Lytechinus pictus: one gene and its partners. Each later gene encodes a partner of the first gene's protein in a complex. Links are inferred from orthologs where the notes say so. Each region holds a gene or a part of one and is shown in the gene's direction. Other genes may lie near its edges. The genes, in order: DNA-directed RNA polymerase I subunit RPA2-like, DNA-directed RNA polymerase I subunit RPA12-like, DNA-directed RNA polymerase I subunit RPA49-like and nucleolar transcription factor 1-A-like.

Evidence for each region.
Region 2: DNA-directed RNA polymerase I subunit RPA2-like (region 1) and DNA-directed RNA polymerase I subunit RPA12-like share a complex: the UniProt entries of both Homo sapiens proteins name them as parts of the pol I pre-initiation complex. The link is inferred for Lytechinus pictus from reciprocal best matches to the Homo sapiens genes POLR1B and POLR1H.
Region 3: the proteins of DNA-directed RNA polymerase I subunit RPA2-like (region 1) and DNA-directed RNA polymerase I subunit RPA49-like are in contact, whole or in part, in a cryo-EM structure (PDB 8A43), measured with the Homo sapiens proteins. The link is inferred for Lytechinus pictus from reciprocal best matches to the Homo sapiens genes POLR1B and POLR1E. Residues at the interface, in NP_061887.2 of Homo sapiens: Lys254, Ser258, Phe259, Ser260, Tyr262, Gln263, Gln266, Ser295, Thr296, Gln297, Ser338, Thr340, Glu341, Ala532, Cys535, Pro541, Ile542, Asp543, Gly544; in NP_071935.1 of Homo sapiens: Gln27, Ser29, Asn30, Gly31, Tyr69, Thr76, Leu79, Lys80, Cys81, Leu84, Cys85, Met109, Gln110, Pro111, Leu112, Phe113.
Region 4: DNA-directed RNA polymerase I subunit RPA2-like (region 1) and nucleolar transcription factor 1-A-like share a complex: the UniProt entries of both Homo sapiens proteins name them as parts of the pol I pre-initiation complex. The link is inferred for Lytechinus pictus from reciprocal best matches to the Homo sapiens genes POLR1B and UBTF.

What each region holds. Positions count from the first base shown.
Region 1 is NC_087257.1:11,052,449-11,059,394, reverse strand, and holds the start of DNA-directed RNA polymerase I subunit RPA2-like, read left to right. Parts: upstream 1-3,937; 5' UTR 3,938-4,028; coding exon 4,029-4,100; intron 4,101-5,441; coding exon 5,442-5,576; intron 5,577-6,840; coding exon 6,841-6,915; intron 6,916-6,946. Other genes in the region: elongation factor 1-beta-like, read right to left, coding at 292-414, 3,668-3,747. UniProt on the Homo sapiens protein: Catalytic core component of RNA polymerase I (Pol I), a DNA-dependent RNA polymerase which synthesizes ribosomal RNA precursors using the four ribonucleoside triphosphates as substrates.
Region 2 is NC_087259.1:27,112,586-27,120,183, reverse strand, and holds the start of DNA-directed RNA polymerase I subunit RPA12-like, read left to right. Parts: upstream 1-4,592; 5' UTR 4,593-4,645; coding exon 4,646-4,775; exon of another isoform or gene 4,776-4,855; intron 4,856-7,598. UniProt on the Homo sapiens protein: Core component of RNA polymerase I (Pol I), a DNA-dependent RNA polymerase which synthesizes ribosomal RNA precursors using the four ribonucleoside triphosphates as substrates. Can mediate Pol I proofreading of the nascent RNA transcript.
Region 3 is NC_087245.1:24,112,261-24,119,600, forward strand, and holds the start of DNA-directed RNA polymerase I subunit RPA49-like, read left to right. Parts: upstream 1-4,322; 5' UTR 4,323-4,490; coding exon 4,491-4,542; intron 4,543-7,340. UniProt on the Homo sapiens protein: Component of RNA polymerase I (Pol I), a DNA-dependent RNA polymerase which synthesizes ribosomal RNA precursors using the four ribonucleoside triphosphates as substrates.
Region 4 is NC_087245.1:35,362,833-35,369,800, reverse strand, and holds the start of nucleolar transcription factor 1-A-like, read left to right. Parts: upstream 1-3,947; 5' UTR 3,948-4,305; coding exon 4,306-4,432; intron 4,433-4,955; exon of another isoform or gene 4,956-5,165; intron 5,166-6,968. UniProt on the Homo sapiens protein: Recognizes the ribosomal RNA gene promoter and activates transcription mediated by RNA polymerase I (Pol I) through cooperative interactions with the transcription factor SL1/TIF-IB complex.

The sequences.
Region 1 (6,946 bases):
ACTTCTATGGCTTGATTTTTCTGTGCGCGGCGGCATTACAGTGGCCTGTACTTACGAGTGAAGAAGAAGATTTTGTTCCGATTTATGCTAAAAATGACCCTGGAAACTTGAATAAGGGGCCCTGGAAAATCCTTCTTCATTGCAATGTAAAAAAATCCAATGTAGCAGATTTATTGGGCAATAATTTGCAAAAAGGAGCCCCTGAAAATAACTGTTTTTTTTTGGCTGCCATTGATGCATTAGCCCCATTTACTGTACATTCATAAGGAAAAAAAGATAAATTACACACACCTAGTAAATGTGGAAGAATACGACTTGACTTGATTGTACCATCTGAGTGCGTTGAAGAGGTCTGCTGCTGGGCCCCCAGTCAGTGCTTTGAAAACGACAACATCAGCCTGGGATACAGTGTACCTGAAATTGGAAGAGAAAAGTAACTAAAGGTAAACTGATGTAAATTCTTTTCATTCATTCGGGTGTGTATACTATAAATACATAAAGGTTTTTTTTTTCATGAGGGTAGTAACAAAATCTGTAACCACAAGCTACATTGTACGTTGATTGAGTCTAGATGCAACTCACAATAAAAATAACCCTTTTAATTCAAAGTAGGTTCTAAAAATAAAATAATACTAGGGTGGCACCAGATTTGTGCTGTAGACATGTGTCAAAAAGTCAATAGGTGAACTTGCCTCAAATTTTCATTCTATATTTTGAGTGAACAATGTAGTTAAATGTGGCAACATTTTCTGGCAGCCAAGTAATGTGACATGTTTCCATGGCTCCTCACAGAGGCTCAAACAGTCTATAAAGACTTAAAAATGCCTATTTTCAGCCACTAGCCCACAAAGTATAGCCTATGGCCTGGGGATGGGCCAAAATGCTGTATGTATGCATTTCCAGACACATTTTATGGCGCATTTAAGCCTTATTTCTAACTATTTAGTAGGAAATTTCATGGTCAGTTTTGAGCAATGTCTTTGACAATATAATGCTAATAAAGAATATATAATAAAGGTAACGCTTTTTAGTAGAAATGCCGTTTCATTTTTTTTTGCCCTATCTAATAGTAATTCAAGATTTGTATAGCGCACTTTCCATGTTGATCTTAATTAGATGCTCAAGGCGCTCAGAGCGGAATAAAATAATTGTTTTCTAAAAAAACACATAAAAAACAATCACATTCTTTTTATGTAGGCCTACAATAGGCTACATGTATGTTGATTTAATCTTAGACTAGGGTGTCTGGAGAATTTTTTTTTCTTATTTCAAGGAAATATCACATTTTCTTTGTGAATTTGAAGAGAAAAAACCTTCAGACTGATAGAAATGTAATATTTTTTGAAAAAATCCAATTATTGGCTGCAAAAAAGAAGAATGAAATTAGGTCAATTTTCAGCATTTCCCTGCCATATTACTGTGTAGTTAAGAAATGGACACACACAAATCCTAATTTTTAGCTTCCGAGAGCTGTTATAAATTTATTATTAATGCCAAAAACTTGTCCATAAAGTGTCTAGTAGGAATTTTTATGCTCTTTCCGATGGTATGATTTTTATAAAGATTTGGAAACCAGATCACAATGAAGAATTGCGACAAAGTGAAAAAATTTGTGCAAAACAGAAATTTCATTTTCCCATAGAAAATGCATGGGGAAATAACAATCTCAACACACAGACAAATAAGGGTTTGCAATTTATCTCTAAATCCTTATTTCAAATAATCCTATAAACTTGTCCTTACTGTCAAAAGAAGCCCCTGAATTTTCTTTCAATACATGCCAAACAAAAGTTAATAATCAATTCAGATCACATTTTTTTAGCAGCCTGAATTTCCTGAAAAAAGTGTGCCATATTTTCCCCTAAATCAGCCTGTCTTATGCTGACACTTTTCAGTGTGGCTTCAGACACCCCACTTAGACAGGAAATAAACAACTAAAACCTGAAAGATGACTTGAATAAAATAAAAACAAAAGAAAAATCACACACCAAAATTTTTATTATCAAAAATGGATGTGAAATAAGAAAATTGTGTGAGTTTTCACAAAATGAAGGTGATATGACAGAGGTGCTGGTCAGAAAATTGGGATCGTCCCAGTTTACAGGGACTGTCTCAGTTTTCAAAGATTTCTCCACACAAGAAATCTAACGTAGGAAAGTTCATTCACCTGTGAAGTGCCGATTGATGTCGGCACTTCACAGGTGAATGAACTTTCCTAAGTTAGATTTCTTGTGACATCAATCCAGTGCACTAGTCAATGTAATGTAAACATATCATCAGGTTTCATAACAAGATTATTGGAAATGGAAGACAGAAAGTCATGAAATATAGATTATAGTCATAGACATAGTCCATAGACGGTGAACTGGGGGAATTGAGGTCACTTAATCTATTTTTAGCACTCTCAATCCCGCAATTATCGCTACCCCAAATAGCGATTTTGCCGAGATCCGGGAAAAATCCCTGTAACGCGCATTGCATTATGGGATAGCTTTTCGGTATTAAAACTTCCTGTTCGGAAGTCCAATGCACTGTTTTGCCATTCAGATCAACAGTGCCGTCATGCACAACAACACAACGTCGCTTTCGCTCGGAAAGTTCGTGATCACAACCCTCTCTTTCACGATACAGTTTAACGGCCTTTTCTGCTAAAGTCACTAATTCTGCCTGACGCTTTCCATTGCACGGTATTCCTCTGTCAGTTAAGATTTTTTAAAGTTCCAAAACTGATTTTTTTTTTATCCATTTTGTGGTCGACGAAAAATTGAACGGAATGAATGCTGTAGGCTATATATTAAGCGTCTAGTCGAATACGATCGTGATGTCAGGCCGGTCGCTAAATGCGAAATTTTAAGATACTCATTTTTTGTTTAATTTTTTATAACCAAATAAAAACATGAATAAAAACTATTTTCACATGAAATATATTTTTTATTTTTATTTATAATTCAAATGGAATCAAAACTGACCAAATTAGATAAAAAGTATTATAATCTGTACATATCGCTGATTGGCATCGATTTCAGCGTGGTGGAAAACTCAGTATCGCGAACCTCGCGCGAGCATGACTCTGAACCGGAAGTGGTGATGACGACCCGACGGAGTGAAAATAATCTCGTCTCGCGCATTATGAGATTTTTGTTCCTATTTGGGGTAGCGAGAATTGCTGTCCATGTCCCGCAGGGCTAAAGTCACTAAGTGAATGAAGAGAAACTGTCCCAATAAACAAGGACAATCTCAATTCATCAAGACATGATTTGTCTTGCCTTGGTTATGACATGATGAGGATATCCTTGTTTTCTGAGACTGAGTGAGAGTGAGACAATCCCAATTTTTGGACCAGCGCCTCTATCTACCTGTCTACTGACAGAACCAATCACACACAGCAGTATAATTATCAATAAAAAACCCATTGTGGTTTACTTTCGTATGCTAATTTACTATTAACATTTGATATCCCAATCATGCCTATGGTACCCATCTCAACTTGAACATCGCAGTGGCAGTGCAGGGCAGACACAGCACGCAGCTCAGACTCAGTTAACCCAGGGAGCTCCCGCCCGCGCGGGCGGGAGCTTCCTGGGTTAAGACTCAGTCAGCTCACGCCACGCCTCGCTAGACGCTACCTCGTATGTTGTTGAATCTTGTGAAATAAAAAGAAAATTACCCTTCAATGTAACTGCGATCTGATAGGAAATCATTAAGGGCACCGAGCCCACTGCTGCTTTTAAGATCACCGAAACCCATTTTTGCAAGATAAGTTTGTTAAAAGTCGGAGTTGAGACGAGCAGCAAGTGAATCACACGTGTACTTTTCAGGAAAGGATGAATAATTGGATGACTCTGGAACTGGGCACGCACAGCACACAGTATACATACATTGAATGTAAAAAAGGGGGGTTCAGCGAAAAAAAATCTCGCATGTGCGAAACGTCGATGCACTTGCGCTTTGCCAAACAAAACTGCAGTGCACTGCAAGTGCGAATGGAATTGTGAATGTGGTAAGGTGGTCGCCCAAAATTTGTCAAAATGAGTGATACACCAACTTACCGTAACTTAACAAATGGAGAATATGGGAGACCGAAAGAGTACCAGAACAAGGTTGATATATCATTCGTTTTAAATCTTGAATTTACCATGTAATAAGGAATGTTTCGTGTGCATGATTTGGTGTAGTGTGAGAAGTTGTAATATTGTGTACATTAAATCAATGCCACAGCGAACCGACCTGAGTGCGGATATTAGGCTCCATGTTATAGACAGCTGGCAGCCGTCTGTTTCGAGGAGTTTTTTAAAAACATTTTTATTTTTTTTTATTTCTCGTACACAGACGGCTCGCTATCGTGCAGCCACCATTAGGGGGTTAACAATGCAAAATCCCCCCGACGGGGCTCATTGATTTTTGTCTGACTTAATTTCATAAATATATAAAAAGAACTGTACGTGTACCAAAACTAAAAAAAGGCAAAATAAAGATTATTAATATTCCGTTTTGGCCTGAAATGCACCAAAACGGGGAAAAATAAAATTAAAAGGGGAAAACACAGTGACTTACCTCGGCTGTCGCGCAACTTCACTTCCCTGTTTTATCCGAACTAATAATTACATGAACATATTAATATTAATTATTATAAATGGCCATAATTGGGTCCCTGTACAGATTGAGCTACAACTTCAGTCTCTGTATTTGGTGAGTGGAGCCAACGGAGTTCAGCGGAACAACCAACATACCAGAGACTGAAGCTTTTGGTCTAGGTCCATGTTATGATTCAGTGACATAACTGACATACATTACAGCTGACGGAATATAATCTCCTCCACTCACCGGAGGAGGGAGACGAAGAAGTATGATTTCATCACCTGCAATTTTATTATCCTTGAGCTCCCTGGGTTAAGTTTTCACGTGCTACTACTTGCAAAAGCTATTGTAAAGTTAGATCTTTATAATAAGGAGAGCGTAACGTTAGAGCTTGAAGTTAATGTTTAAAAAAATTGAAAAATCTTATTTAGATACCTAACACGAACAAAAGATGTAGAGACTCTAGACTTTAAATCTGATTTTTGTCTCGTCGATCGTCAACAAGTCAAAAGTTTAACTTTTTGAAACCTGGACATATAGCTAGGAGTAGGATATTTAAGTGTCACCAATCATGGTTACTGATCATTTGAGTTTCAGGTATACAAGTCACATATCACAATTGGGGTCAATGAACTTTGTCCTTGTGGTACATGTATCTTAAATTTAACAAGTATAAGATATTGAATTTTTAAGATAATTTTGAGAAATGAGTACATGTACATGTTCATAAAACTGATGGTGATTGCAGGCCTGGCCTATGCTACTATTATGTTCTTCTTATCCTTGATGAAGTTAGAGGTTAATACATGGCTGGTGTTTACAATTGATTTTGATTCTGTCTTTTTTTTTCATTGTGAAAACAGCTCCTAGAAGATGCAGTGCGCCCTCACATTGAATCCTTCAATTACATGCTTGACGATGGATTAGCACAGGCAGTGAGGAACATCAATCCAGTGGAGTTCCTATTGGATGATGAAAGAATTTCACTTTCATATGAGGTATCATTAGAAAAGATTTGAATAGTATTTTGAAATCAAATAATATGATGAAATCTAATTTTTTTTTATCAGTATGAAAAGTTTGATTTGATCCAAAAGATTCCAGAGTGACTGTGGAAGAAGATAACACATGAAGTATTAAAAAAACAAAGTAAACATTGTACTTTTGCTTGATAGATATCAATGTTCTTATGTTTCTGAATAGCTGAGTAGTTTAAATGAGAGAAAGTTGGAGACAGAGTTTTACTCATGAAAACATTACTCTGGAATTGCCATTGCATATAAGTATGAAAATGGGGCATTATACTGGTACACTGTATATGCACAAGTATGGATTGCCATTAATAGTAATTTTCAGCTATCTTGTTTCATTCTAATTTCTAAAATGATTCATCTCCATCTTTACCCCCAAGTATTCCTTATATAAAAAAAGTGAAAAAATACTTCTTTCTACATTTTCCTTAAAATTCACATGAAATCCCGCCTCATCCCAAACTTAAAGGGGAATCCAACCCAAATAAAAACTTGTTTTTATAAGAAAAAGAAAAGTCAGACAAGTTGATAGGTGAAAGTTTGAACAATATTGGACAAACAACAAGAAAGTTATGAATTTTTCAAAGTTGGAAATATTGGTAATCACTATACTCATGGAGACTTCAAATTGGCCGCATATGGGATGTCATAGTGATGTAAGGCAAGGACTACTCTTCCATGTACTCCACTACATATTATGGCTAAAATGTCATTTTTCCTCAAAGTTTTATTTCAAATTGTATTTTTCTTTCATGAGGACATTTAACAATATACTACCTGGGTTATATTTAGATTACTGCCCCAGGGGAATGGGTACTTAGGAGAAAACCACAAATCCCTGATAATAAAGTACATGGCCTATGGGAAGGTTGTCCTTGCCCCTTGTCATAATTTACTTACCCAGTTGCCAATTTGAAATCTACATACTATTAGTGATCCCAATTTTAAAGCAGCTATGACTTTCTTATTTCTTGTCCGATTTATTTCAAATTTTCACCATTCTGTTTAATTTATTTTTCTCCTTCCCAACACAACATTTTATGACCAAGGCTGGATTCCCCTTTAATTTCATCTTTATCCTTTCTGGCCCATAGTATTCCTATCCCCTGGGTCACCTGTATATCACAATATGCTCTGATGTTGTGAATGTCCTGTTCTTAATTTTATTGTTATTTATGTTTTTTTTTTCATAGGATACATTCATTCTTTGTGATTGTTTTTTTTTTCATAGGATGCATTCATTGGTGTACCAACCATTGCAAGAGGAAACCTGTTTGCTTCTACTCTTAAAGTCTACCCATCAGAGGTAGGTTCAGGGTGACCGTTTCATTAAAGTT
Region 2 (7,598 bases), on another chromosome or scaffold:
TATTTATTAAAATTTTTTTTGGGGGCTTGTCAAATGTTTACTTCGGGGTCGAAATATCATTAGTTTTTGGTTGAAAACCTTTTTTTTGTGTGTCAAAATTTTCCTCCAAAAGCTTTGCCCCCAGTGGCGTACCTACGGGGGGGGGGCCTGGGGGGCACGTGCCCCCCCCCCCTGAGATTTGGTGTGCCCCCCCGGTGCCCCCCCCCCAGAAAAAATTGGCAGAGCAAAAAAAAAGAAAGAAAAAAAGGGAGAAGAAAAGAAAAAAAGAAAAAGGAAAAGAAGAAGAAAGACAGAAGAAAAAAAGAAAATAAGAGGAGGAAGACGAGTGAATGAAATAATGTAATTAAAAAAACAAATTTTTTTATGTTACTATACGAAATTTTTGCTGGCGCTTCGCGCCAGAATTGCCTGTTCGATGAGATTCATATCTTGCTCAATAGGCTGATATGGAGCAAGTTTTGAAGTCAATATGCAAAACATATTTTAGCTCGACATCGAGCTTTCATTATTTTTTTTTCATTTACAAATTTAAGTAAAATGTCCGTTTTATGGTCTACATATATCAGCATTTTAAGCTCACGCTGCGTGGTCACATTGTTCGATTTGCGAAGTTCATATTGTCTACGTGTATTCCATAATGTTCCATCAAACAAATGTATTCAGAATGCCCAGATTCTAGGTCTACAACACGCGCGATAGCCTGCATGTTCTTTATTTAAAATGTACATGTACTTGAATTATCCAGTATCACATCAGAATATCAATAATTTTATTGTCTGCTCACGCTTCACGATCGCATTATTAATGATACCCAATTGACTATATCCTATTTATGATTTACAAAATATGAATAGAATGTCCCGCTTTTAGGTCTAAAATCTCAATTTTCTTCCTCGATCTCGCGCTTCGCGCTCGCATCAATTGTTTAGTTACATACCTATCCCATTTATTAATACAAAAAGTGCTTAGAATGGCCATTTTTTAGGTCGGAATGTAAAAAAAAAAATTGCTCGCGCTTCGCACTCGCATTATCGAAATATATACCGTCTTCGTGGGTAACTGTAAGCAGTCCTTAACAGTTCCATTTTCGATAATGCTAGAACAGTTGATAAAAATTTCTGTTCGCGCTTGGCGTTCGCAGTAGCCATCTAGTTACATACGAATCTTGTTCAGGATCACACATAACATTGCCCAGAAAATTAAATTTAAAAAAAAAGAAAGTTTTAAAAAAATCGCTCGCGCTTCGCGCTCGCACTTTTTATCAGGCTTATGAGATTATTTCATGTTTATGTTGTTTTATAAGAATAAAACTAAGAAGTGACTGATATAGGTGAAGATAATTTCGGGCCCCGTCCCCTATTGGCGAAAGTCGGATCCGCCCTTGTGACACATACACACACACACACCGGAAAAATGGTCGGTGCCCCCCCCCCCCTGAAAAAGCAAGGACCCCCAAGTGCCCCCCGGGAAAAAAATCCTAGCTACGCCACTGTTTGCCCCCCCCCCCCTTTGGAAAATCCTGGATCCGCCCCTGAACATAGGGACATATATCTCTCTCTCTCGATCTGTTTTGATCCTCCGCTCTTCGGAGATTAGCGATAAATCGCGGTCAATAGCATAGATGGATGAAATCTAGCTCATTAGTTAGCATGAAGAGTACAGGCTATGGGCATGAATTTTATATATTATAATGAAGAGTCATTTTCAGGATGAGGAAGGGAAGGGCCATAAATATATACGGCAAGAGAATGGCGCAAGTAATTTCAAAGGGATCCTGGGTGTTGAGAGTAGGCCTAATTCTTGGAGAGGATTGAAGAGCATCTCGTAAGAGTTTGCTCACTTTGGCCAGAAGATCAGTGCGTATAGATGGAGGGTTGACGGACAAGCAGCAATAACCTGAGTCACTGTATCCTCATCATGGCAGAGAGGACATTTCGAATCAGTTTCTTTCTTGAGTTCGGGTGAGCCGAGTTCGGGTGAGATATGTTGATCAATGTCACAAGTTGTGCTCTGATCATGGAGCTATCTGTAATAGCTCCATGCTCTGATGGTTAAAGGTCAAGTCCACCCCAGAAAAATGATGATTTGAATAAATAGACATAAATCAAATTAGCAACGCGGAAAATTTTATCAAAATCGGATGTAAAATAGGAAAGTTATGACAATTTAAAGTTTCGCTATTTTTCACAAATAGTGATATGCACAACATGCAAATGAGTCAGTCGATGATGTCCCTCACTGTTTCTTTTGTTTTATATTGGGGGTGCTGAGTATTGTCACAGCACCCCCATAATAGATAATCCTCCGTGGCCAGGTCCATGAGTGACAATTAGGACCAACTTGACTGAACCATATATTAAACAATACTAATTCCACATGTTCAGGGCCCGGTTCAGGGAGGAATTAATTGTTGTTTCACTTGACAATCAGGAGAAAATAAGAATATTTCATATCTCATATAATAAAATACAAAAGAAATAGTGAGTGGATGACATCATCAGTCTCCTAATTTGCATATCGACCATGCAGGATGTGCATATAACTGTTTTGTTAAAATGAGCGAAACTTTAAAATGTCATAACTTTCTTTCTGATTTTACATCCAATTTTGATGAAATTTTCAGTGTTATGCTTGTTTAATTTTTCTTTTTTTATTCAAATCAAATTTTTGTTGGGGTGGACTTGTCCTGTAAAGGTCAAGTCCACCCCAGGAAAATGCTGACTTGAATAAATAGAGAAAAGTCAAATAGTGCTAAAAAATTCATCAACATCAGATATGAAATAAGGGAAAGTTATGACATTTTAAAGTTTCGCTTTTTTTCACAAAACGGTGATATGCACAACTAGGTGAGTCAGTTGATGATGTCCATCACTAACTATTTTTATTTTGTTTTTTATTGTTTGAATTATAGGCCTACAATATTTCATTTTTTATAGATTTAACAATAAGGACCAATTTGACTGAACCGTATCAAACAATGCTAATTCCATATGTTTAGAGTGGAATTAATCATTGTATCACTTGTTAATGAGGAGAAAATTAGAATATTTCATATTTCATATAATGAAATACAAAAGAAAAAGTGAGTGGATGACATCATAGTGTCCTCATTTGCATACCAGCCAGGATGTGCATAGGCCTATAACTGTTTTGTGAAATTAAGCGAAACCTTAAAATGTCATAACTTTCTTATTTTACATCCGATTTTGATGAAATTTTCAGAGTTATGCTTGTTGGATTTTTCTCTTTTTATCCAAATCAACGTTTTGTTGGGGTGGACTTGTCCTTTAATGATTGTCTGATAATAGTTGACAGGCGCGGATCCAGGAGGGGGCCGAGCCGGCCCCGGCCCCCCTATTTTTTGACAACCTGCAGAAAAAATGTACTCCAACTTGATAGAAACTATGAAAAACAGAAAGAAAAGTAAGAAAGAGGTATTATACCCATGATGTGTAATTCACAGCATCGTAACAGCCGGCCCGACCCCGAAAGGAAACAAGAAAAAGGTGAGGGGAAGAATTGGAAAATAGACTTTATATAAAAAAATCGCTGGCGCTTCGCGCTCGCATTGCCTGTGTAATGAATCCCATTCAAGAGGATTAAATGGCACTTAATATATCCAGTTCTGAAATCAATTTGCACACGATATTTTAGCTCGCACATCAAGCTTTCATTATTTTGTTTGATTTACACAAATTGTTAATTAATACCAAAATTTTTAGCTCGCTATGCGCGCTTGCATAGTTTGATTTGTGAGATACTTATCCTCTTTGGAAATTCTTACCAAAATTTGTAAAAATACTCCTGTATCATGTCAGTATATCAAAAAATTAAGCTCGTGCTTCGCGCACGCATTTAATTGTTTTAGACACACAGCTTTAATTGTTCTTTATTTTAATAAAAATGCGCTTAGACAGTCCAGTTCTCAGGTCGGAATATCAAAATTTTTTAGCTCGCGCTTCACACTCTCATTATTTAATTGGTGATACTTGTATCCTCTTCATTAATCACTAAAAACTATCGAGTCCCTTTTCACGTTACTATAATAAAATTTCGGCTCGCGCTTCGCGCTCGCATTGTTTAGTTGGATAATATTGCATTGTTAAATTGAACATATCTTTGTTCATGATTACAAAAACTGCTCAGAATCTTCAGGTCTAAGGACATAAGATATCAAAGAATTTGAGCTCGCGCTTCGCACTCGCATTATATATTAATACCACATGAGATATCTTGTTTATAACAATAAAAACTAACATATACTTAAAACTTCAGTCTTTAGTTCGGACTACCCACCAATATTTTTCGGTCCCCCCCCCCCCCCCCCTATTGGCGAAAGCTGGATCCGCCCCTGGTTGATGGAGGATCCCAAGATGGGGTAGAGATTCTTAAGGTTGATAGTTTTCCCATGCCAGAATTTGTGATAGATGCACCATCTAGTGTACGTAGTTCGTTTGCTCAGCAGAAAGAGAGATTGAGTTCTTCACCTTCCGTTTCCATGAGTTGTAGGGAAAGTTTCTCCTAGATCTAATTAAATATTAGTACAAATCTCTTTAACCTTACGACCACGCCCACATTAAACGTGAAAATTCGTATCCGATGTATATTTTCATTACCACGCGGTACGGTATCAATTGGATGAAGGATGGATACTGGAACAACTTTTTCTGTTGCCAAGGAAATCTGTCCGAAATGTGGCACAGTTTTACCTTTTCCAAAGCGTGGCACATTAGACGTCTTTTGTAAAATTTGTGACTTTAAAACTAATGCTACAGGTAAGTTGAAGACGGCAAACGTACGTTGACCCGCTGCTCTGTCTGAGTCGAGTCTGAAGACGTATCTGCTGGCTGCCTGCGTCTGCCGGGCAGCCGGGGCACTCCGCCCAGGGAGCTCCGGCCCGCGCCCGCTTAGCGGGCTGGAGCTCTCTGGGTTAGGCTTGTTATAGCGACCCACTAGCTCTAGAGTCTAGCGAAGCGATCAGCGCGGTGAAGCTTGTTCTTGTTTTGGAAACTACCCACAACGAACAACAACATTCATGGGCCCAGCTACCTCGAGCGAAGTTCGTGCAGTCTCCACTTCACTACCGCTACACTAGTACAATCCACCTACCCGAACTTCGAGACGGTGAACCAGTTCGGATATACTGAGTCACAAAGGTGGGGATGGTAATCATGTTTATCGTAAAAATTAAAGAAAAAAAAAAAAAAATTTTATAACAAGAAAGATGAATAACTTAATATCTTACTCTACACCCGTATTTCACTCCGTTTCCATCCTCCGGTTATCCTCAAAATTGGTGATTTTGGGTCAGTATCTATTCCCTTACACGTATTATTCACGGCCGATTTAAAAACATCGCATGCGATCGCGATCGGCCGCAGGTCAAGGCCGATCGCATGCGATGTTTTTAAATCGGCCGTGAATAATACGTGTAAGGGAATAGATACTGACCCAAAATCACCAATTTTGAGGATAACCGGAGGATGGAAACGGAGTGAAATACGGGTGTAGAGAGACCGAAGTTTTAACTCAATTTGTACAGGGACTGTGTGTGTATTTGAGTTTTGTCAGACGTGTATCAATCAGATATGATTATTTACGTCTGGGACCGACCTTTCGTCACCATCTGAAATACGTGACACAGGTCCGAACCTCTGCATCAATTTGTAACTTCCCCACAGCTTGGATTACAGGGGCACGCCACAACGCCCACTCAAATGTTTATGTGTTAAGTTTGGATAAACAAGGGAAGTGGGAGTTGCGCGACAGCCGTAGTAAGTCACTGTTTTTTCCCCTTTAAAGTTTATTTTTTCCTGTTTTGATGCATTTCAGGCCAAAACCGAATGATAATCTTTATTTTGGTCCAGTTCTTTTTATATACAGTACTTTTATGAAATACAATAATCGATGAGCCTCATCGGGGGGATTTTGCATTATTAACCCCCTAATGGTGGCTGCACGATTGCGAGGAAATCACGAGGAGAAATAAATAAAATAAAAATGTTAAAAAACTCCTCGAAACAGACGGCTGCCAGCTGCGGTCTACCATCACATTTAAGAGCGGCATCTACGTCAACAAAAAGTGCCATATTTTAAAAATCTAGATCTAGCAATTACACCTACAGTGTTGGACTGGATCTTATGCTTTGTGGTAATATGTTCCATTCTTTAATCAAGCTATCACAAATGAATTCAAAGCAGTTCTTGCAAACGGTTGATGGATAAGATTTCTCTGACGTGTATTATACGTATGAATCCTGGAGTTAACAACAAAAGCATCTGATAAAAATGACAAATTTTGAGTCGATTGTGATTTGTACATGGATATCAAACAGTTCAAGGATATTAAATCATAAAGAGGCAGAATGTTGAGCTGCAGAAATAAAGGAATACAGGGACTTCTGTAATTCAAATATGTAATGAGTCTGATAACTTTCTTTTGAAGGATCAGTATAGTTTGTTTAAATGATTCCTATTTCCCCACGCATCATTACAATAAATTAAGTAAGGCACAATGATGGAGTTACTAAAGTTTGTTTGGGTAAAAAGAAACGCAACATATATCACGGCAACACTCTGAAATCTTGGTACAAACATTGCTGACCTGATTTTTCCATGATAAATGATCATCTCCAACTCCTAGAAACCGCACATCTTGACTATGATTAATCTAATCATTCTGATGACCTATTGATAATGAATCTATATATCAGGCATTCTTCTACCCCTTGTTCTAAATACAACATATTGTGTTTTACTAGCGTTTAATAAAAGCTTTTTACAGCAAAACCATTTAAATATATTTTGAACTTCAATATCTGTCGACAATATAAGATTATGCATACCTTTGTGATAGGAGAGTAAGCAAGTGTCATCAGCAAAAAGTGAATATGTAAACAACTATGATGAATTTGTAATGTCATTGATATAAATCAAGAACAATAAGGGACCCAAGAATCAACCTCGGGGTACCCCATAATTCACCTTCCTAGATTGTGATTTAACTCCATTGATCATTACTTAACTGTAATCTATTCTTTAAGTAATTTTCAAACCAATTTAAGGCTACCCCATGAATGCCATAATGCTCAAGCTTGTTTAATATTATCATGATCCATAGTGTCCAATGCCTTCGATAAATCTAAAAACACACCCATACAATTCTTTGGAAAGCCAATTTGTTGTGGGATCATGTTAGATCCATCTATTGACACAATTTGTTTTTCAGTGACCTAGGCTAAGACGTGCCAATTCCATTAGGTGATAGCCATAATAACTTGAAGCCCTATTTATTTTCCAAGTAGGACTAGGCCTAATGTTAGTCTATAATGAATAAACATCAGATGTATTTGCTTAGACCGAAAAATCAGTCTATTTCTTTCAGGGATATGCTCTGCGGCATCCCCTCCGTCTGTGTAGGAGGAGGACAAAAAAAAAATCATTTTCTTTTAAAGAACTCAGAAAAAACAGCGGATATATCAGTCCAGTATTTGCTCAACTCTGCACACCTCCGCTCTGCTCTGCTAAGTGAGCTCATGTGTGTAATGTAAATTCTTTTAAGATGTCCGATAATTTTTAGGAGAGTGCCTTATTTAGAA
Region 3 (7,340 bases), on another chromosome or scaffold:
GACAATGTCATTAAACGGATATGTATCTCACTGATCAAATAATGCGAGCGCGAAGCGAGAGCTGAATTTTCTTTATATTCACACCTAAAAAGAGACATTATAATCAAATTTGTGTAATCATGATAGGTACCTGTCTCGCTAAACAATACGAGCGCGAAGCGCGAGCTGAATTTTTCGTATATTTTGACCCCAAACAGCGAGATTTTGAGGAATATATTTTAGGAATCCATTAAGAGTATGCATATCTCACCATAGTCATCTAATGCGAGTGCCAAGCGCTTGCTGGTTTATAAAAATTACATCTGAACTCATGAAACACTTTTTGTAGTCATTGCAATCATGATTATCATACGCATCTTCACTAATCAAATATTGCGAGCGCGAAGCGCGAGCTGAAAATTTATATAATTCAGACCTGAAGTGGGGCATTCTAAGGTTTCTTTGTAGGAATTAACTAGGACCATACGTATTTCAATATCCAAATGATGCGAGCGCGAAGCGCGAGCTGAAAATTTTTGATATTCAGATCAGAAGAAGGGACATTTTAAGGACTGATTTTAAGAATTCATGAAGAGCAGACATATCACACCAATCCACTAATGCGAACGTAATCACGGACAGGAAATGTTTCATATATACGAAGACCTTAACATGGGGAAATCACTTTTTGAGTCATGAAAAAGAAGCAAATGTCACTACATAAAACAATGATAACTCAAGTGCTAGGAAATATATTTGGTTTATATTGACTTGAAAACGGGATGTTTCAGTACAACAGGATTATATATCTCGTTAACAGACAATGCAAGCACCAGGAACAATGAATAAGTAGGCCCTGGGCAAATTATGTTTCATGAAGTTATGATAAAAATGTTTCTTATGTAATGTAACATAACATAATTATAATATAACATTATAATGAATAATATTTTCTTCTTTCTCACTATACGCTTCTCTTACTTTCTCCCTCTTTTCTCATTTTCCCCATTTTTTTTGGTCAGCCAATTGGGGGGGGGGCACGTGCCCCCCATGCCCCCCCCCCCCGTAGTTACGCCATATGGCAAAAACCCCTCCAATATTATTATCTTTTTTAACCCATGATGGTTTAATGGTTTTATTAGAGAATACATTAAAAAAGAATTGACATTGTATCTTAATCCCTTCCCAAAGACCCCAACATTGACGAATTTAAGAAACGGGAGTTCCTCTTCAATGTTATAATAAGGACATAAGTATTTCGTTTGGAAATGGTGAACTGGCTCTTTATTTGCACTTTATGATTCAATAATATTGTTTTATTTGTTAAGCGGTATTTCAGGAAGAATTTTCACCAATAAAACAATTATCTCTTGTGATTTTTTTTTCATTTCTTTCGTGAAAAGTGGGGGGATGTTTGTACAGGCCATCCCCCCTCCTCGAAAAGTGGGGGGGATATATCCCCCCACCCCCCCCCCCCCGGGATTTACGCCAGTGGTCTTTACAATAATATTTAGGCCCTATATCTCTACCAACATGACCAATTACGTCAACAGCCATGAATAGACAAAGTCTTTCATGATTACAAAATTGATTATATTTAAACAAACATTCCCATGATCGTTGCATCGAACATGTCGGAAGGTTCTCTTTACCACGATGAACCAATTGTGATGGCGGCTCAAGTGCTTCCAAGGTCACTGAAGGTATAAAATGTCGTTACTTTTTTCTTCCACATTTTCTTCTGGGGGCGGGAGGTAATAAACTACAACAAAATTGTATTTTCTTCTTAAATGATTTTAAGCAAAGTGAACAATTGTTTGGACAATGGAAGAATTTGGAAATGTCCTACGATCTTATATAGGAACGGGGTTGTGTTCCTATCGGTGTTTTGATATCAAGGTGATAATTTTGCAGATAAGCAAAATTAATGTGTCACCTGATTGGAAATATAAATATTATAGAACAATATTAGCTTATTACTAGAGACTGTGTTTATTTTCTCTCATGAGGTCATGATCATTGATCTAGTCTATATCTTTCGATGTTGATTTCAATTTTCTATAGACCTATGAGGTGTTCGACTCAGTAGCATGGGAACGAGTTTTTTTTCAAGAGGGGTGCTCGTTTGGAAAAAAAATAATTGGAAAAAGGGGGGTTTTCGCTCAAAAAACTTTAAAAGGGGTGATTTTGGTCAGTCAAAGTTTGAACAAGCAAAATGGCAACAACAACAACAACAAAACGCAGAAAAATGAAGGTGATTTAGGTCAATACAGTTTAGCATACCGATTATATTTCCAGGGGGTGCTGCCCAGTGGATGCAAAGCATACGCAGCACCACTAAAAAAAATCACGCACGCTTCCCAGTGCCATATGGTTCAACTATATAATACACATTTTAGAGACTGATCTGCATTAAAAATCGCATTATATTATGCCCATTGATACTTTGCCATCATTTATGGACTCTGTTATCGATATCGTCTTGCTTTTTTCCCCGTATATGTAATATGGTCATTATACCCGAATGGAAAGAAACAATTAAGGGCGTATGCTGGTTTGAGCATCATGGGAGGTGGAACTTTAGTGGTATGGGGGATGCACATCTTGGGGAGGCGGAACTATAAGGTTTTGAAAATCAGCTGTTTAAAGCCGAAGAAAGGGTGCAAATTTCGTTTTGTTTGCCAGTGTCGGAACTCTTCTGCCTCAGCGAGAGGGTGCACCCCACTAGCGTACCTACGGGGGGGGGGCAGTCTGCCCCCCTGACGAGCCACAACCCATGCAAAGGACGTACCCCTGCCCCCCTGACGAGCTTGAAAGACCTTTTTTTGCCCCCCCCCCCCCCTGACGAGCTTGAAGACCTTTATTGCCCCCCTGACGAGCTTGAAGACCTTTTTTTTTTTTTTTTTTTTTTTTGCTTGTCAAATTTTTGGGCGGACGGTTTTGCCCCCCCCCCTGTGGAAAATCCTAGGTACGCCACTGGTGCACCCCTCCCCCAGCCTACTATACGCTCGGCTTGACTCTCACAGTGGAAGAAGGTGGAAGCATTATGATGATCAAAGCGACAAGGATGAGGAAAGAGACGGGGCGATGGCTTGTAACTATTGATTGCTTGATGGATGGATTAAATTCGCCAAGTCCCCTAAACCATGCGATTTTGTGAGATTTTTTTTGGTCCGGGGTATATAGGGGGGGAGTCGGGTTCCTAATGGAATCGGAGGGTAATCGCCCCTTCGATTCTTCAAATGATTAATTGAGGAAGGGGGAAAACTGAAGAAAAAACAAAAGGAGGAAAAATGAACAAAGCATTTATTATGCGCCATCTAAACTATTACGAGACGCAGGAAGGATAAGGAAGAAAACGGAATGATAAGTGCTTTTGTGTAGATATCTTTGACGCCTACTTATTTTTTATTGAGATAATGTCATTTTAGACGACCCTAGAATCCCTTCCCGAAATCTCCTAGCAAAATATCCTGGCGCGGCCCATGATATATGGCCAAATAAGGCTCAGTTTTACATCATATAATTTTGAAAAGTATATTGCACCCTTGTCTAAACTTAAAGTCAATTGGGAACTGAAAGAGATCCCCATTCGGAAATATCTTTGTACCCAATATACCTAGCGATTTCTTGGGCCGAACCCATGAGGAGAGGGCGGCCGGGGGTCACCATGGCCCTGGGAAGCGGGATGAAGCACCCCCAATATTTTCCTTGGGGTGCCACTTTATTATTATCTATAGGTGCAGCACCCCATATATGCTGGAAGGTGTGTAAAAATAATAAAAAATTGTAACCAAAATTTTCCTTTGTTTTTTAGTAAAACCTACTTGTTTATTTTTCATTTTATTTTATTTTTTATTTTTTGCTTTTCAAATTTCTTTGGGTCAAAATGACCTCGTTTTGTAATGAAAACCTTGTTGTTTTTTCTTTTCAAATAAGCATCAGCACCCCTAGTTAAAAAAATCATTGCCATTTTGACAAGAGTTATGAAAAACTTTTGTAAATACTATAATGATTTTTTTTTTCATATTAGAAGGATGCACAAGAAAAATATTTCATAATGTATACATCATATTGGTAATAAATATCATTATATGAGAAGTAAGATTTTCTAAATAAAAAATAAGTCGATGGCGACAATAGTCTAATGTGACTTATCGCCACTCAAACCAACATAAGATGAAGTTCCCAGGGCCCTGGGGGCCATCCTTGGGCCCCGGCGTGGGCCCAGCATCCGAGAGTGTGTAGCAACAACAACATAAAAATTCCCACCATCTGGCATCAAGTGGGGGTGTAGTTGGAGGGTTATTTTCTTTGTTACATTATCTACATTGGTCCCCTAGGAAATGATACCAACCATCACTCAATTCGTCATCTCAGCTATCGAGGCTCCCTGTATAGAAATTTTAATATTTCATTTTCCAAATCGGAGACACCATACTGCTTCAAGATTTTGGTGTTGCGCAATCGCCGAAGTACCTGGGTTGAATTAATTTTATTCGAAGACGAAAATGATGGCCACATGTTCATTTATTTCAAGTGATCAGGAGAAACCAACTCTAGGTTCGTTATTTTTCATCTCATTAAACAAATTATACAAACAATAAGATGCGGTCATGTAGAGCACGTAGATCTAGGGTTAATAGAATATTTACAGACTTTCTATTACTCTGAAGTGAAGAATCAAGCTGATCTGGACTGAAGAAGTCGCGGAGTCTTTGCTTTATATTAGACCCATGTATTGATTATGCTGTAGTGTAGGGCCTACTGCATCGCGGTTCCGTGGCGTGGGGCCCAGGTCCACTGCACTCTAAGCACCAAGGCTATTAATTCCTGTGTTAAAAAAGTGAGTGCACGCGAATTAAATGTTGGACTTAAATTACTAGATCTTACCATGGAGCTCCATGACGAAATCTGTTCTTAAATTAGACTCTAGATATTACTAAATTGAAAAAATGTACTAGGACTAGGAGTGAGTAGGACCCACTCCTAGTAGTACCACTACCAATGAGGTCCAACATTACATGTATGGACCTCATAGGCGACATCAGTAGTATTTTGTGTCAGAAATCTTTGTGAAGATGATTATTTTTGTATTTTATCAAAACTACAAGCTATCGTACTGTCTAATCATTACATTTCGATCTCACTAATTGAATACATTGTTAGCAATAAAAAAAATTGAAAGAAATGAAGGGGAACTTATATTTTCACGGCTTTTTCCTGATTTTCTGGGCAACTGCTCTTCTCTTCTGACTCGCGATCGAAGCTGATATGAAGATCACGTGATTCGCGTTCTCGTCAGCTGATCGGTTGGTTATTCTTTTCGTCAGACGTTAATAATATATATTTTATAATGCTAGCATTCATCGCTAATTTAGGTGAAAGAGATTGAAGTTAAACAGCGCCAGGTCGGAATCATAATTATTTTGGAAGAGTGTATTTATACACTCGATCTCATACCTGACGTAGACGGCGCTATTCAACAAATGCCCAATCTTCAATATAAAAAATAAAACAGAAAGAACGCCTTGAACACAGGCCAAAATGCCTAACGATTTCTTCGCGGCATTAACAACTATCGTAAAGGGCGCTCCATTTATTAATAAAGATGGACGTATAGCTGTCTATGGCGACAAAATTTGCCGCAAATATTTACGAAGAATTGTGAGAAATGGTCTGAAAATGCAACAAAAGAACCGGTGAGTACCGATTAAACATTATCAATTTATTTAATAGAACATATTTAATTACTACAATGTAACAATTTCTAGATAATATTGCTTAGTTCTAAGCTAGGGAGGCCCAAACGCGCGTGAGCGGAGTCCCACTTTATTAGCACGGGTAAGTATTGGGGTGTCGCCTAGAGTGCTAGGACCTATAGTACTCGCGCCTGGTCTTTTCTTGGGGTATTGAATTGAAGCCTTTTTGTCCAGAACTTGCTCAACTTTTGCGGCAAATTTTGTCACCATAGCCTTGTGCACATTCTCGTTTAATACTGGTTGTCACGTGACACGGCAATGTCGTTAGGCTGTTTGGCCTGTACTCAAGGCGTTCTATCCGTTATGATTTTATATTATAAAGTCAAAGAGGGGCCTAAGCTTTCGATCCTAGCAGAATCTTCGTCGGAGGCAAAATGACAAACATATAAAGTGGAACAACCATAATATAGACCACAAACAAGCTACAGCAACACTAGAAACAAGGAGACAAAAGGGGCATTAGTGAGTAGAGAAGACCAATCAGGTTAGTGAAGGGGATGAAAAAAAAGGAGTAGGCAGACACAAAGGGAAGTTAGTGTAAGTAAGGCCAAGAGGGATTAAGATAATGAGGCAGGCAACATCAAACAGGATCTGGAACAAAACAGTGATAGAGGGATGAATAACTAGAGAATTAGTGAGAGGTGGGTCAAACAGGTTACAAAGAAAGGCTTAATAAACTGGTGCATAAGAGTGGGGGGAAAAAAGAAGAAAAAGAATGGGGAACAACTGATAATGTGCAAAAGACATATAATTATATATGATAAAGCATTAAACAAACTAAGAGAAGAAGGTAAGTGTAAATATGTATCTATAAGTGATATGTATATAAATATATCCAAAAAAGAAATGTATATGAAAAAATATATAAATATATACACATATGGTGTAACTGATATGGTAATCCGCTAGGTGTGACGGGAAAAAACATAAGACTATATAGTAGGAAAGAAAAAAAAATCTGTATATGTGAAAAAGAGGAAGCAAATTGCCTAAAAAGGTAAAAGCAAATATAGAAGAGAGGGGGTGTATTATGAAGAAACCATAGTATACATGTAAATAAGCAAATGTGGTAAATCTAAAAGAGGTGAGTGGAGAAAAAACAAATATATATATATATATATAATAATTATTATATCGCCTGAATAAGGAAGGAAAAATTGGAGCTGAGCTTGTATGAGATATGGGAGGAAAGTAGAGTAAGAAACTATAATGTAACTATTCAAAAGAGCTGAGGGGAAAAATTATATGTATATATAAATTGAAAGTGGATAGGAAAGAAAAATCAGTCGTTCCCCTCTTGGATGTTCAGGCCATGAGGTTGGGTGGTGCGAAGTCGTCTCATCCAGAGCTTCTCCCTGCTAGTACGGACTGAGTCAGGACGGGTACCTAAAGATTCGATGCCCTGTAGCATCATGTCAGTGATGGAGTGGTTGGGGAGGTTAAAATGGCGGCCAACTGGAGTGTCCAGCTTTGCTGTGTTGACGGTGGATCTGTGCCCGTAGAATCGTTTCTTGAGTGTGGTCTTGGTTTTATATTGAATGAAGCTAATTCCATCAGGTATAGGCCCCTATCAAGTCAAAATCGATACAGGGATCGAGA
Region 4 (6,968 bases), on another chromosome or scaffold:
AACTTATTTCATTACAATGGAGACGCATCATTTACACATGTATGAAAAAATCAAACATTTATGATTTCATCTAGTAACATAAAAAAAAGGAAAGTGGAGATGTGACATCAGCCCACCTAATGAATATTCATGACGAAGTGCATACAACTGTTTTCACAAAATATTGATAAACTTTAAAATTCAATAACTTCTTGTTATCCTATTTTGATGAAATTTTCATCATTTTGCTTTTTAAACTTGTTCTGGGAACTGCTTTTTGAAAGTTGTCAGCATTAACAAGTTGTCTTTTTCCGACAGTTACCATAGTAACAGTCAGAGGCCAGTGCTTCTCAGCCAATCAAAAGCAATGATTTCACTGAAATAGTCGGCACTGACAATCATGAAATACCCATCAGATGTTAGCAGATAATGTGCAACATAGACTCCTAGATACATATATGCAAACATACATAGTCTAAGTCTTTATTATTAAAATAAATGTATAGGTATAAGGTCGAGGCAATTTCATCTCTGCGATGTCAATTTCAGAAGTATTCCCAAGACCATGTGAACTTACTATACATGTTGTAATAAAAATGATGATGTGCTGTCTATCATTTATAATTGAATCATTGAAATATGGAACTTAGAGAAGTTTCACTATCCCATGTATTTTCTTTATGTGCAGATATAATTTTACACCACTGAAATTTTGTATTACGGTATTCACTGTACTTATTATTTTTCATTCCATTGTTTTTTTTTCTAATCTTCAGATACATCGCATCTACCAGCAAAGATCAAGTGCCACTACAGGAAAGGAAGGTACCTGTTTCACGTTTCCTCTTCAGAGCCAGTGAGGGCCCCAAGATCTCAATAAATAATAATTAAAAAAAGACTCCTTTATCATTCCTTTAAAAATAGTACATATTATTTATTGAAGGTAAATGCTTAGATGCATTATATTCAAATTTTGTCTCCAAGCTAGCATGTAAAAATTGGATTGACTACATATTTACTGTGTAAGTTAATGATCTTTGTTGACACATAATACAAGAATTATACACAGCATGTTACAGTTTGTAACATAATTTTCTTTCATTAAATTCCTAGTTTAAATACCATATATATGTTTTTTGTGACTTTTGTCATTCTCTGATGATTTTTGGTACAGATTTCAAGAGACTGAGGGATTGATTTACCAGAGCAAGTTTACAGTCCAATCCTGTTATATTGTGCATGTGGAAATTAACAAGGTTTCAATACAATGCTACAAATTTACCTTGATTCATTTCATCAGTCCTATGTGCAAGAATAATTATTTCACTTGTCCATGCACATTGTTATAACAGGAGTGGACATTCAATGTAAAGATAATTGAAGATAATTTATAATTGAAATAACCGCCTGAGAGGGGGGGGGGGGGTGTTGGTACCAATATTCTAATGTGTGTGTGCGCAAGGAAAACGAAGGAGTGATTATATGAGAAGAGTAAAAGATCGGGAATGTACATATCCACATGATTCATTTTTGTTTATGCTATACATTGCAGGGTGTTTCTAACTGGTACCACTTGACAATTTATGTTTCCAACTGGTCCTAACTGGTGCTTCCAACTTGTTCTAACTGGCACCAGTTGACAACTGGTGTTTCCAACTGGTTTTAACTGGCACCAGTTGACAACTCATGTTTCCAACTGGTCCTAACTGGCACCAGTTGACAATTGGTGTTTCCAACTGGTTTTAACTGGCACCAGTTGACACCTCATGTTTCTAACTGGCACCAGTTGACAATTTGTGTTTCCAACTGGTTTTAACTGGCACCAGTTGACAACTCATGTTTCCAACTGGTCCTAACTGGCACCAGTTTACAATTGGTGTTTCCAACTGGTTTTAACTGGCACCAGTTGACAACTCATGTTTCCAACTGGTCCTAACTGGTACCAGTTAGGACCAGTTGTCAACTGGTACCAGTTGCTAACTGGTACCAGTTAGGACCAGTTGCCAACTGGTATTTCCAACTGGTACCAGTTACAATTTGTCAACTGGATTCCAGTTGATTCCAGTATTCCAATTTCCATATTGAATCCAGTTCGCTAACTGGAATCAACTGGTACCAGTACCAGTTGGATGAACTGGTCCTTAACTGGTTTTTTGACCTGGGCATGCAAAAAAATACATCAAAGCAAAATCTACTAGCATCCTGCCAAGTTTCATACCTGTAATACAAAAAACATGGGAATAACACAAGTTTGAAAACATGTCATGTTTTTCATGGTGCCATTCTCACAACAAAGTAAAATAAAAGAATGACCTTTGACCTTTGACCTTTGGTATATCATGTCCAATTGCCGAAACATAATTGGGCATAACTAACAAATCATTGGGTCAATTTTCAAAATTCAAAGTTTTCTGAGAGCTGGAAGAGTTCCTCTTTCCAATGGTATCAATTGCAAAGCTAATCACAACTTCTAAAACTTCTATAGGGTGCTTTTCGAGACACCATGGACATGGTCGCGCAGGGTATCCACTTGTCAATGGAAGGGGTATCCACTTGTCAATGGAAGTGGTCCCCCGGTCCCCTGGGGCCATCACATTGGGTTATCGCATCGGGTCAGGCAATCAAGTATACCCAACCATTCAATAAAGGCCCCCTTAAATTCCTGAAATGTCGGGTCAGTTTAAACCCAAGTACATATAAATACCCAACCATTCAAAAAGTTTTCAGTTTTCACAAAACATCGGGTAAATTGGACCGAACCTTTCGGAAAGTTAGGGGGCCCTTTTCTCGAATGGGGCAGTTTCCTCGCATGGTCATGTTTCGCGATTGCCCGACCCGACGCGATAACCCAGTGTGATGGCACAAGCCATTCAGATGTAGCATAAAAAATGTTATTGTTAACATATTCTTGAAAAAAGTTAGAGCATACCTGATAGATTCAGTTGATCAATTTCAAGAGAATTGACAGAGTCATAAAGGAGATCATCAGAATCCTCATCCTGCTTCAACAAAGAGAAGTTAACCTCCTTCATCTCACTTCCAGTTCCAGAGTTCTTCATGTCCTTGTCCAGCAAAACTCCAGAAGTTTTTAGATCACACTTCACAATTTAGATATCTTATCTTATTTATTATCCAGGCAGTTATCGTGAAATGTCTTGCCTTCTTCTGCTTAAGCCCTTACTTAGCCTCGGCTTAGGCCGGCGATCATCAGTCAGTCCGACGTCCAGGGCCAGGCGGTCCGCCTGGCAAGGCCAAGCCGTGCCCATTCCCAGGAAAGCTAAGATGGGTCCCTCCTCCCTTTCGCCACTACAACAAGTCCAAGGGCGCTCCCTGCTCGCTCGCGCTCCTGTCCAAGGGTCAGGGGATACCGTACAGTGCTCGAACTGTTAGTGTATTGTTGGTTCTGCACTGTCACTGCAGCTGCATGCCTGTATACGTACAGTACTGAAGTAGGCACCAGCTGGGAGTGGGACAGCTCGACATCGACAGTGCAGGCTAGCTGCATGATGCGATGCGCTCCTCACAAGCGCAGCTCAACTGAATGGAGGTTTTTTTTATGTAAGGGAATTAGCATGTTTTATTTCAGAACTGAAAAAAGTTAAACATGTACCAGACCGTCCTACGTAGGATTTAGAAATAACTAACGTTAAGCATATAGTAAGTTAGATCTCTACGGTAAATTCTGACAACGTTTTCCATTTAGGGTGCGTAGCAGACGACCCTGCTGCTCGTATGACATGACGTTGGTTGACCTCTTATCGCACTCCCTCGATTTTTGGCGCGGGCAGTTGAGGCGGGCAGATATCACGAGTCTCATGGTTTGCCCGCCTGGCCTAGCCTGACGCCTGCCTGATGGTTAGGCGGTGGTGCGGCTGCTTATCAACGACAAACGATGTAAATGCGCGATCTTGTGTACGTCACATTCGCTTGAATGATTTATGATAATTTATGTAAATCTTTGAGATTCTATTGGTCGTTGCGTGTTTACTGATCGATTTCGTAAACAAGAGTGTCATCCTTGGTCACTCCGATTGAAACATTAGTTGACGGGCTGCGTTGTGCATGCCGTGTTTTAAATATAAATCAAAACAATATTCGTGAACGAGGTTGTAGATAGCGGCCTAATTAATATAGTCCACGTGAGTAAAGCTAGCCGAGGGGATCAAAATTAAATATTGAACTCTGCCAGCCGAAGATCTTTGTGTGTGAAATCAGTGATGTGGAATTAATTAAGTCAATAACTACCCAAAGTCATAAACACTCATTAGATTTGTTATTATATAATTTTTTCAAGGGTACTATTTTTTGTTCTCGGTGCGTACCGTGATGATCCTGGCGCCTATGCAGCCGATAGACACCGCGCTGGATAGCGGGCGCGGAGGAAGCGGGTCGGGACCCGAGAGCGTTGGGGCGAATCAAGAAGTTCTAGAGACAGCCATCATGGACGCTGAAAGTAAGTGGACATTTTAATTCCGTATTTTTGCGTGTGTTTGTGAAATATATTTACTTCATTATTACCAGATTGTAGTTCATATTTGTGAGGTCATTTTCGCTACATTCCCTCTTAGAAATATTTCGTCATTTTTATGTTATATGCGATTTTATTAGCCGATTCAGCAATCAAGATGGCCGGGTAAGTCTCGGGTATGTTAGCATAGGAATCCGCTCATCAGCTTTTGTGCGTCGAAGTTCCGGTATGGAAATAGACCGTTTTCTGTTAATTTTATCAGAAATTACAATTTGTTTATATTCTAATCATATCTATGGTAGTTATGTATCCATCAGTAATTGTTGCTGTTTCTTAATATTTTGAGCATGTTGAGATTAAGACTTGCAAATATTGATGTTCTTCCATGAATTTGTTAATGAGCCAGCAAGTTTGATTGACGCACGCCGCGTGTGTAGCGGCGCGGACGTCGCCCCACGCTGGCGAGTCGTGAAACCCGTGACTTGATCAAATTCCCGGGCATCCCTGTGTAACGGGCTGAGCTGAAAAGCCCGCAGTGCTGCGGCATGGTCGCCGCATTATCGAACGAGCTTGTTTGTCAGCCATGTCGCTGCCGTTCTTATTTTCAATGCCAGGGAGTAGCAGCCCCCGGGCGGGCGGGGCTTACTCTCGTGCGATGGCGCGGCTATGACGTGAACAGAATATCCTTGTGAATGTCGTGTGGTATTTTCTCATACCGGTACGTGACGTTGTTCGCGAATGTTCTCATTTTCAGAATGTTTACTTTCAGCTTTGCCTTTGACTCTCGAATACTATCGCTAGTTAAGATTTTAGGTATTGTTGGAGCGATTTTGTAGTGCTCTATTCGTTAGGTTTTGACATTGTTTGTTGGAAGTGACCAGTAAGAAATATTTTGTGGTCAGTAGACCCTGTACTGCCCATTCATTCATCGGCTCCTCCTCCGTCGTCGGGCGGTGCGTTGTGGTACCGTTCTGGCAGTCAACCCCCCGTTTTGTGGGCAAAACCATTATTTATTCTTTGAGCAGGGTCTAACTGAGGTAGAAACTACAATCAACTTCAATTCTATTGCTTTGCTTCAATTCAAACTTCAAATGCATCACTGGAGTGATCATTAGATCTACTTGAATTTTGGCCTCCCCCTTTTTTAAATACAGATCATCATCATGATATATAAACTTGATGTTTTTTTTTTGGGGGGGGGTTAAATTATGTCATAATAATTGAAATAAAGATCTAGGCTTAGTCTAGAATAAAATAATTCATTCAACATGTCCAATTTACTTTGTCTTTTGTGGTTTTGTTTTAGAAATTTATTTTTAAAGATGTTGCTTTTAAGCTAAAGGTAAATGTAGACTGTATTGTTATTTTGGGGGATTTTTTTTCATTGTAAAATCATAACGATGTTTGAAAAATAATGTTCTAATCTCCTGCCTAATCTAAGCTTCATTTTTTGTCTCACCTGAACAAAGTTTGGCAGAGACCTAGTAATATCACTTTTCCTTTACTTTTTTATGCCCCCGCAGACGAAGTCTGGAGGGGCATTAAGCATTGCCCCCGTCCGTCCGTCCCCCACTTGGTTTCTGCGCAATAACTCAAAAAGTATTTAATGGATTTTTAAAAAATTTGGTGTGTAGGTAGATGACACCAAAATACAGCCAGGCTAAGTTTGAATTCTGAGTCCGCAGGTCAAAGGTCACAGCTCATTAAATATGCAAGTTTGTTTCCACCTTATGAAGTATTCAACAGATTTTTAAAAAATTAGGGTGTGTAGGTAGATGACACCAAAATACAGGCTATGTTCGAATCAATTTATTGTCATTTCTATCAATTGCATTTGACATTTTATCAATGTTAATTCAATTTATGTTTTATCTCTACCGTTGTATAATTATACTATATCTGTTGATTTTTTGCTTGTAAATTGAACATTTTCAGCCTGTGAGCTGCCTGTTTGATTTTTTTTCTTTCAATAAACCATACCAATTCAATTCAATAGGTCACAGCTCATTATATATGCGAGTTGGTTTCCTCATGATAACTTTGGAAATATTCACCAGATATTAAAAATGTTACGTGTCTGGGTAGATGACACCAAAAGATAGGTCACATCAAATGACCTGACTGTCATATCTTCTGTGAGAGATTATTATGGAAAGGGTGAGTCTTCAGGTCAAAGGTCTAAATTTGTTCATTATTTTTTTCCAATTTTTTTTTTGCACAATATTAAGTTCAATCATATTGAATGAATTTCTGATCATGTTAAGCAGGGGCATCTGTGTCCTCTGGACACATCAAATTTCTAGTTTTGTTCTGAAATTGATTTTTAAAGATGTTACTACAAATAAAATGTTTTAAGCTAAAGGTAGATGTAGACTGTATTGTTATTTTAGGGGATTTTTTTATCATTTTAAAATCATAACAATGTTTGAAAAATAATGTTCTAATCTCCCGCCTAATCTAAGCTTCATACCTAGTAATATAACTTTTCCTGAACTTTTTTTTATATGCCCGTCCTAGAGGG